2 linked regions of the Oryzias latipes genome follow. The protein of the gene in region 1 interacts with the protein of each later gene in a pairwise test. Links are inferred from orthologs where the notes say so. Each region holds a gene or a part of one and is shown on either strand. Other genes may lie near its edges. The genes, in order: prpf40a and ccnl1.

Region 1 (4,325 bases):
GTTCTACATTTTAAAATGTGCAAAACATTAAAAAAAGCTAGGTTCTTAGTGAAATATTCAGCTTTAAACCAAGACTATGAGATGCTTTTTTCCCCTAAATAAACTAAATGTTTAAACCTATGTCTCTTCATTCTTACGGGGCAACTTGAATAACAGACTCTAAATGTGATGTGCTTTGTTGGTAGCTCATGTGGCTATGCTTGACAGGAAGCCAATTGTCAGATGAGACTGCAGTGCCTGCAAGGCAGGTCAGCAGGATGCTGGACTCAAAACTCACTGCCTCAAAATGGCCTGCAGCAAACATTGACCAACTCATATATTGTGAATCAATAGCACAGACAAAGATGAGGTACTGGCGAACTGGGTTAGGACTAGATCATAAGCACTCAGTGGCTCAGGCGGTTGAGCAGGTCGGCCAATGATCGAAGGGTCGGCGTTTTGATCCCTGCTCCCCCCGGTCAACTATCGTTGTGTCCTTGGGCAAGACACTTCACCCTCCCCGCCTCCAGTGTGGTTCCACTGGTGTGTGAATTCGTATGAATGCCCCGGTGATGGTCAAAGGGACCATAGGCGCATACTGGCAGCCACGCCTCTGTCAGTCTGCCCCAGGGCAGCTGTGGCTACATCAGTAGTTACCATCACCAAGTGTGAATGAGGAGAGAATGAATAATAAACATGTTGTAAGGGTTTTGAGCGTCTGGAAAAGCGCAGATGAATCCAATACAATACTATTTTTCTTATAAATATAGTGTTTTTAATGTTTATTTGGAAAGTGGGAATTAGTTGAGCCCTGGTTTAGACATCTAATCAACCTAATTGTCAAGAAACAGAAAAACGACAGGTGAAATGTAGTATCAATAATTAACCCCATGCTTAAAGCAAAGCAAAAGAAAATATTTGATAAATGTATCTTTAACTGATTCATTTGTTATTGTTATTTTTTATTTCAGCTACTCCAAATTCTACATGATGTTTAATCAAAAAACAGCTCTTTCCGTTTTTGTGTAAGGCAACCAGCATTACACTCAAGTATAGTCATCTTTACCCGACTCATTTTCAATGTACCTAGTAAAGAATAAAGATAATGAAATCCCTTATAAGACTATTCTTGGCATAATTAACAGCCTTTTAGTGGCATTTCTTCTGCCCTATTTTGGCAAAATATCCTTTTCAGATTTCTAAATTGGTTGAGGTTACATTAGATGTTGAGCAGGTCTGGTAATTGTCAAGAAAAGAGTGAACACATTTTATACCATTTACAATCATATGGACATATGAGTTATTTCATAATAATATGTGTGATGTTTTAAGTGAAACATTTGACTCAAAAGTTACATTGAGCCACACTCTTTTATTTGCCCTACTTTTAATTTGTTATATAGTTCGTTTGTGTTGTGTTTTTTTCCCTTTGAAACTCATAAATCTGGAATTCTTCTCCCCTCATCCCCGTTGATGCGCATGTCTGCGCACATTTAGCGCAAACTAACGCCACTGAGCTACAAACTTTGACCTCTTTGCGCCGGAAGCAACGTCGACCAATCGTATCGCTCTTTGTTGGGAGGTGCTGATGCTCACATTTGTCGAAGGCTCATTGAGACAACATGGTAAGTATCGTTGCTTCAAGTGCTAGTTTTTGTTTTCATGTTATATGCTAAATGCATTTTGTGGCTTTAAATTCACTACTTCTTGAAGGTTATTTTAAAGCTTATTTTACTATAGAGGGGCTAGACGTTTCAACAAAACCGCGACGTTAGCTTTTTTGTTAGCATTTAGCCGAGTTAGCGTCATGTCATCGACTATCACCATGAGAAGAAACACTAATAAGGAAAGAATAAACTCCCAATTGTAAAATGAATTTTGTTCTGTCAGTGTGGCAGTAGATAATTTATGCATTTTATGTAAAGGTGGTTTGGTGTAAAGGTCACAATCGCTGCCTCTCTTACTCTTCTTAGCCAGAGCATAGACCTAGCCCGTGTCCTCCTCGTTATAACAATCATTAACTGATGCTTAAGAATTGAAGGAAGGGTAATTAAGAATAGGGACAGACTTTTTATATTTCATGATAATCCATCTATCTACACGAGATACTTTTTTATTGACCAAAATTATGTATTTTTACACTTTTGTACCTATATGTTTATTTGTGAAATTACAGTTAACCTAAACGATAACTATAACTTGCTCACTTTAAAAAAATGTATTATTTATAAACGTTTTAAATGGATTTCCTTAAAATAAATTGTCTGTGGTAGTTTAAGACTATTTTGGGGGAAAAACATCTTGACAATGAATAACTAGATTGTTTTTCCTGCGGATATACATTTAATTGTGCATGTAATTTGAATTGATTAAAGTTGTAGATGTTCTATTTTAACGTGTTAGATAAAGAAAAACAATACAGGCCAAGTTCCAAAAAGTTAGAACTAGAAGTACTGTTCAACTAAAGTTTAAATGTTTACAAATGGTTAAAATGTTATATTTGTCAGTAAAAATCAGCTTCAGGTGTCACAGCTCAACAGGAGTATGACTAGCATTTGAGTTCAATGCATTGTTACATAGTTGAAAAGTATTAACAGTCTGTGAAAAGCAACTTGAAAGCTAAAAAAAAAAAAACTTTAAAGTTGGAATTCTGCCTCTGTCTCAAAAATTGTGGGGAAGGGTAGTTAAAGCAACTGCTCTATACAAATCTAAACATATATTATTTTGATCAAAATTATTTTCGTTGAAGCTTTTATGTCCACTTAGAGTAGAAAGATATGGTAAATGGATCATTTCTATTGCAAAAAGTATGCTAAAGTGAATCATTTCCCTCCACTAACTATAATAGAAAAAAAACATCTTATTTGTAAAGTAACGAAAATACTAAAAGTAGATTAAAAAAAACTTGCCTAAAATAGAGCAAAATTTTCCCACTCATGCTGTAAATGTTTTGCTTTTTAACAAAATCCCACTAAAGTATGTTGTAGATACGAATGGATAAAACTGGTACACAGACGTAGTTGTTTGAATAAAACAATATTTTGTTTGTTATAACACCATCAAGCCGAAGAATTCTTACTTTCTTTTCTATCTTTTCTTAATTGGATTATTCTATATAAATACAATTCAAGTGGTAAATAGATCCAATGTCTTCAACTGTAAGTGATTTTAAACACAGATTGTTTAAATATATAATCACAATAAAGCAAATGAAATCAAACTTTATTTATAGAGCACTTTTTAATACTTTATTATTGCAAAGGTCTTCACACACAAAAAATCAAAGAGCCAATGCTGTTTTCATAAAAATAACATCAAACTAATAAAAACACAATGCTCTTAACTCCCTGATCCCATCACCTCCACATTAGAAAACATTAAAATGAGCATATATTTGAGAGTAGGAATAAAACCAAAGTGAGTATCTCTAAAGTAATTTAAATTAAAACTCTTGTTTTAACACGAATCCCCCCCCCTCCCCAAAGTCACATATTTATTAAGTGACATGTTTTTACTTTAGCCATCCATTAAGAACTGTTTCACTTTCCAGTGTTTTTTTTTCATTCCTGAATCTTTGGATTTTATTTACAGCCCCTTGTTTAACCATTTACCTGCTCAGTTTAGACTTTCTGGTTTAACTTGATGCCTTGTATTAAAAAAAAAAACACTTGAAAAAAGTGTTAAAAACAGCTGCAGAACTAACGGCTGAAAATATAAATGACTTCTGTAGATAAAACCTGATTTTTTATTATTACCTCTGACAACGTCTGGACCACCCCACCTAAAACTCCAACTTCTGTCATGAACGATGTCGTTGGTTTTGCTCCTTATTTTTCATGGGTATATTAGGGTGAAACTTAAAACCGCGCAAAAAAATTTCTGGCAGATCGTCTTAAAAACTCACAGTGGCTTGTTGCAACAGATTTTTTCTCATCTTTTTAATTTCTATCTCAGAATTGAAATGCTTGGAGGAACACAGAGTACAGTTTAGTTACTTCATTTGTTGTCCCCCTGAAAAATCCATTGTATGACGTCAAATATTGCCTGTCTAGCCAGTCAGAGAACCTATTACATTTAAATTACTAATTTTAATTAGTTTAGCTTGGCTTTTAAAACTCCAGCTTCAAATGAAAGTCTAAACTGGTTTCAATTAGGATTTAGAACATTGAAGTGCACAGTAAATGTAAAATCCTAGCAATGAGATTTGTTTATTTAACACCATAATCACTTTCAATTTTTAAAATCCTATAAAATGCTGTTTTTGTAGGAATTCTGTCATGACTAGTTTAAACAAAATATATTTTTTAATATATCAGTAAATGTATCATCAAAATATTGGGATTGCT
Region 2 (3,823 bases), on another chromosome or scaffold:
GCATTTAGGTTGTTAGTCATGGGGACAGCTTTTTTCCGGTCCTAGGTTTAACACAGGTTACATTTCTTTTAAAGCTGTGGATCAGGGCGATTGAGATGGGGGCAGTCTACAGATTCCTAAAGCTTTGTTTGAAACCACAGGAGTCCACAATCCCACCACACTGTCAGGCATGCAAACAGTGTACCTAGTTGCTTTGAGTTGGTTGGAAAGGGAACCAAGAGTGCAAGGATCCAAAAAAGCACTTTCTTCTCTTTGTTACAAAAAGACAAAACCCCTTTTTTATTTGAATTCTTTTAAAAATAGGACCCCAAGTCCATTGATACTTGATCAAAACTACATTAATACCAAAAACCAAGTGATCAAAGCGGAGCGACGGGTCCTTAAGGAGCTGGGCTTCTGTGTTCATGTCAAGCATCCACATAAGGTGAGCCAAAGCCACACTTTTACTTATAGCCTCATTTTAACCCATGCTAAGGCAGCTGCTCAGGACCATTTGTCATCATTCAGTTCTTAATAAATACACTTCTCTGCAAAGGGCTTTCTACTGACATGTTTGCTGTGTGTTCTAGATAATCGTCATGTACCTCCAAGTCCTGGAATGTGAGAAGAACCAGCCTCTAGTTCAGACGGCCTGGTAAGTTCTGGCTTTTTTATAATCTAGTTTTTTTTTCCAAGCACCCTCCATAATCATCCCCACAGCGACAGCCTTTATCATGTCTGCCAGACGTACCGCCAGACCTAGGCTTAATGCGGAGTTGAACAAGTTTCAAACAGTTGAATTCCTGGTGAGGACTTGATGACTCCTCAGGATCTTGTTACGGTGTCGCTCGTCACATTAAATATAGCAGTCGGACGTTACTCAGGTGCTCATACTGGAAGCTAGCATTTTGAAACGTGCTCTAAAACAGATTCACTCTGTCCTGACTGCAGCATTTTTCTAAACGACTGAAGCGTTTATGCAGCAAAGCCTTTTTTAACGTGTCTCACTCTCGTCTGCCCTTGCATAGCTTTCTGTGTAGTCTGTTTGATTTACCCAGAGAACTCGGTTTAACTTTGTCCTTTCTCTCTACTCTTTGATTAAAGGGTAGTCCATGCTGGTAAGTCACATAAAGAACCTCTGAACTCTGCCTCCTCCAACCACATGACCTCAGGAAGCTCCCCCCATTGGTTGGCTGCCCTTCTCCTGACAGCCATTCCCAATGCCGAGATTCACTGAAGGGGGCGGGCGAGCCTTTCCCTACAGCCAGCATCGTCTTGTTTTCTCTTGGGTGTCCAAAAGGATTTGTATTTTTTGGTCTTGCTCCAAGATCTCGGTTGTGATTCCTTTGTCCAAATAGCTGCAGATAGATTCGTATGCTGTCTTGTTTTTAGTTTACTTGCATTTAAAAATGAAGTAAACTTAGCCAGATTAAAATATATATTTATATATATTTTTTAACTTGCCCATTTTACCTGCCCAGTTTAACATTGAGAGTAGACTGAAATTTCTCATGCCCAACTTACATGGTGTGTAGACATGTCTGTCTTGCAGGCTGATCCAGTCCAAAGATTTTGGCTCCACGGATCTGTTCCAGCCGCGCAGCAGTCAGAATCCAATGGCCATGTTGTTTCTTGAGGCTTCAGCATGTCGTTTTGACTATGACCGGTTCTCTAGGCCATATTTCAATAACGTTTGAACTTAGAAAAAAAGATTCTGACTGGAACCATGTAAACACATAGGTATGACATGACACGCCAAACATGCTGCTTTCAATCAGGAAATGAAGCAACTTTTAGGATGTGGGCAAAGTCTCCAGAGTTTACAAAACACCAGCAGCGTTTTTTTCTCTTCACAAGTTAGGATTGTGATATTTTATAAATGATATCATCCCCCCCCATTTTTGTATTTATGACTTCTATGTTTCTGGAGAGCATAGACGATCCCATCACTGTTTAACTCACAGTCGTGCATTTTATGTTGTAGACTTCACCACTAGGGAATTCTTGGACACGCCATCTTTATGTTTATATCACTCACCTTAGGTAGTGAAGACGATTGTGTGACTGAACACACCACACACTGGGGATTGTTGCCTAACTCGATCTGTGGGGGCCAGTTTTAAGTGTGACATCGTGTTGATGTCCGGTCCATTCATTAGCTCATGCATGCTGACAAACATGCTCTTCATGTTTGTACCTATCAAACCCCAAATCTGGAACTGCTGGTAGCTGCTTTCTTTTCCTGCATTTTCCCCAAACTTACAAGGCATGTATCATCATTTGATTCCATCTCTGTGTCCTAAAGTTTCTTTTGTTTTTTTTATTCTTTGCTATTACATTTCCCGCATTTCTTTCTGTGACATGCTGTCTTCCTGTGGATGCCCGAGAGAGAAAAGGACAAAGTTAAACAGGATTCACTTTAAAAGGCTTAAGTGTGATGTTTGTATTGATGGATCAGGAAAACTCTTTATTTCTCCAACCCAAGAAAATTGAGCTTTGTTTTTTTTATTTTTTATTTTTTTACCAACACATTACTGAAGTAATTACTGATCATAAGACATTAATCCTGCAGTGCGTAGTTAGGGGCGGTTGTAGGAATGAAGGAGAAGTGGCTTTGGTTAGAGATGCTATGTTTTTGTTGGTCTGTTTTTTTCCATTACAGGAACTACATGAATGACAGTTTAAGGACCAATGTGTTTGTGAGATTCCAGCCGGAGACCATCGCTTGTGCCTGCATCTATCTAGCTGCCCGAGTTTTGCAGGTACCACCACCAGCCAATCACTTCAATGCGTTTTCATTTTATGGGTGCATCCCTGTGTGGTGAGTGTTTATTCATTTGTTTTCCTTCACAGATCCCCCTGCCATCCAAACCTTACTGGTACCTGCTTTTTGGGGCCAGTGAAGATGAAATCAAAGAAATCTGTGTGACGACGCTGAGACTGTACGCGAGGAAAAAAGTAAGTGTTGCCAATTTCCTGCCTTATCTGTAATAAATCCCACATAAATGTGCAGGGAATTTGGCTTTGTTCTCAATGTAATTTTCATCCAATATTAAGAAACGCGGAACAGGTGAAGTTTTTGATCATAAGTCTTGAAAGCAGCACAAACGTAGTCTTTAGTTTTCTTTGACTAAACGGTATTTTTCCTCTCCCAGCCCAACTATGAGCAGCTGGATAAAGAGGTGGAGCGGCGGAAAGTTTTCCTGGCAGAAGCTAAGCTGAAGGCCAAAGGCCTGAATCCTGATGGTACTCCTGCCCTGTCCACACTGGGGGGGTTCTCCCCCGCGTCCAAACCGTGCTCCCCGAATGTGGCCAAATCGGAAGAGAAGTCTCCAAATCCTCCCACAATCAAAGCGGTTAAAAAAGAGCAAGACAGCAGAACCCAAGTCAACAAAAGTCCACCCAACGGGTAAGAAACTAACATGACTGATCGAGTCATGCGTGTGCTGCAACACCAGACGATCACTCAGCTTTGATTTCAGTTTTGGACTTTTCCACGAGCTGATAATTATAAATAGGTGGTTAATATACGTTTATCCAGAAGCAGGAGGAATGGTCATTGTGGTGACGACTTCTAATGTGAACATTTATCATTTTTACAAACAAAAGTTACACATATAATCAGCTAAATTCTCAACAAACAAACCAAAACTTCTCTTGGTGGATATTTGACAAATGAAGCATTCTGATGTGATTCTAAATGAAGTCTAATAAATGCCTTTATTCTTAATCCATGACACCATTTATGGGGGAGCTGGATGGGTTGATGTTTCAGAAGAATAAAACATTTCATGATCCAAGCACAAATTTTGGCCTGCATGTCCCCTCTTTCAGAAAAAGACAT

Evidence for each region.
Region 2: the proteins of prpf40a (region 1) and ccnl1 interact in binary tests that used the Homo sapiens proteins (3 or more experiments, as listed by UniProt). The link is inferred for Oryzias latipes from reciprocal best matches to the Homo sapiens genes PRPF40A and CCNL1.

Annotation. Positions count from the first base shown.
Region 1 is NC_019879.2:20,298,972-20,303,296, reverse strand, and holds the start of prpf40a (pre-mRNA-processing factor 40 homolog A), read left to right. Parts: upstream 1-1,478; 5' UTR 1,479-1,601; coding exon 1,602-1,604; intron 1,605-4,325.
Region 2 is NC_019871.2:24,441,952-24,445,774, reverse strand, and holds part of ccnl1 (cyclin-L1), read left to right. Parts: intron 1-303; coding exon 304-424; intron 425-569; coding exon 570-634; intron 635-2,641; coding exon 2,642-2,741; intron 2,742-2,832; coding exon 2,833-2,937; intron 2,938-3,134; coding exon 3,135-3,388; intron 3,389-3,823. UniProt on the Homo sapiens protein: Involved in pre-mRNA splicing. Functions in association with cyclin-dependent kinases (CDKs). Inhibited by the CDK-specific inhibitor CDKN1A/p21. May play a role in the regulation of RNA polymerase II (pol II).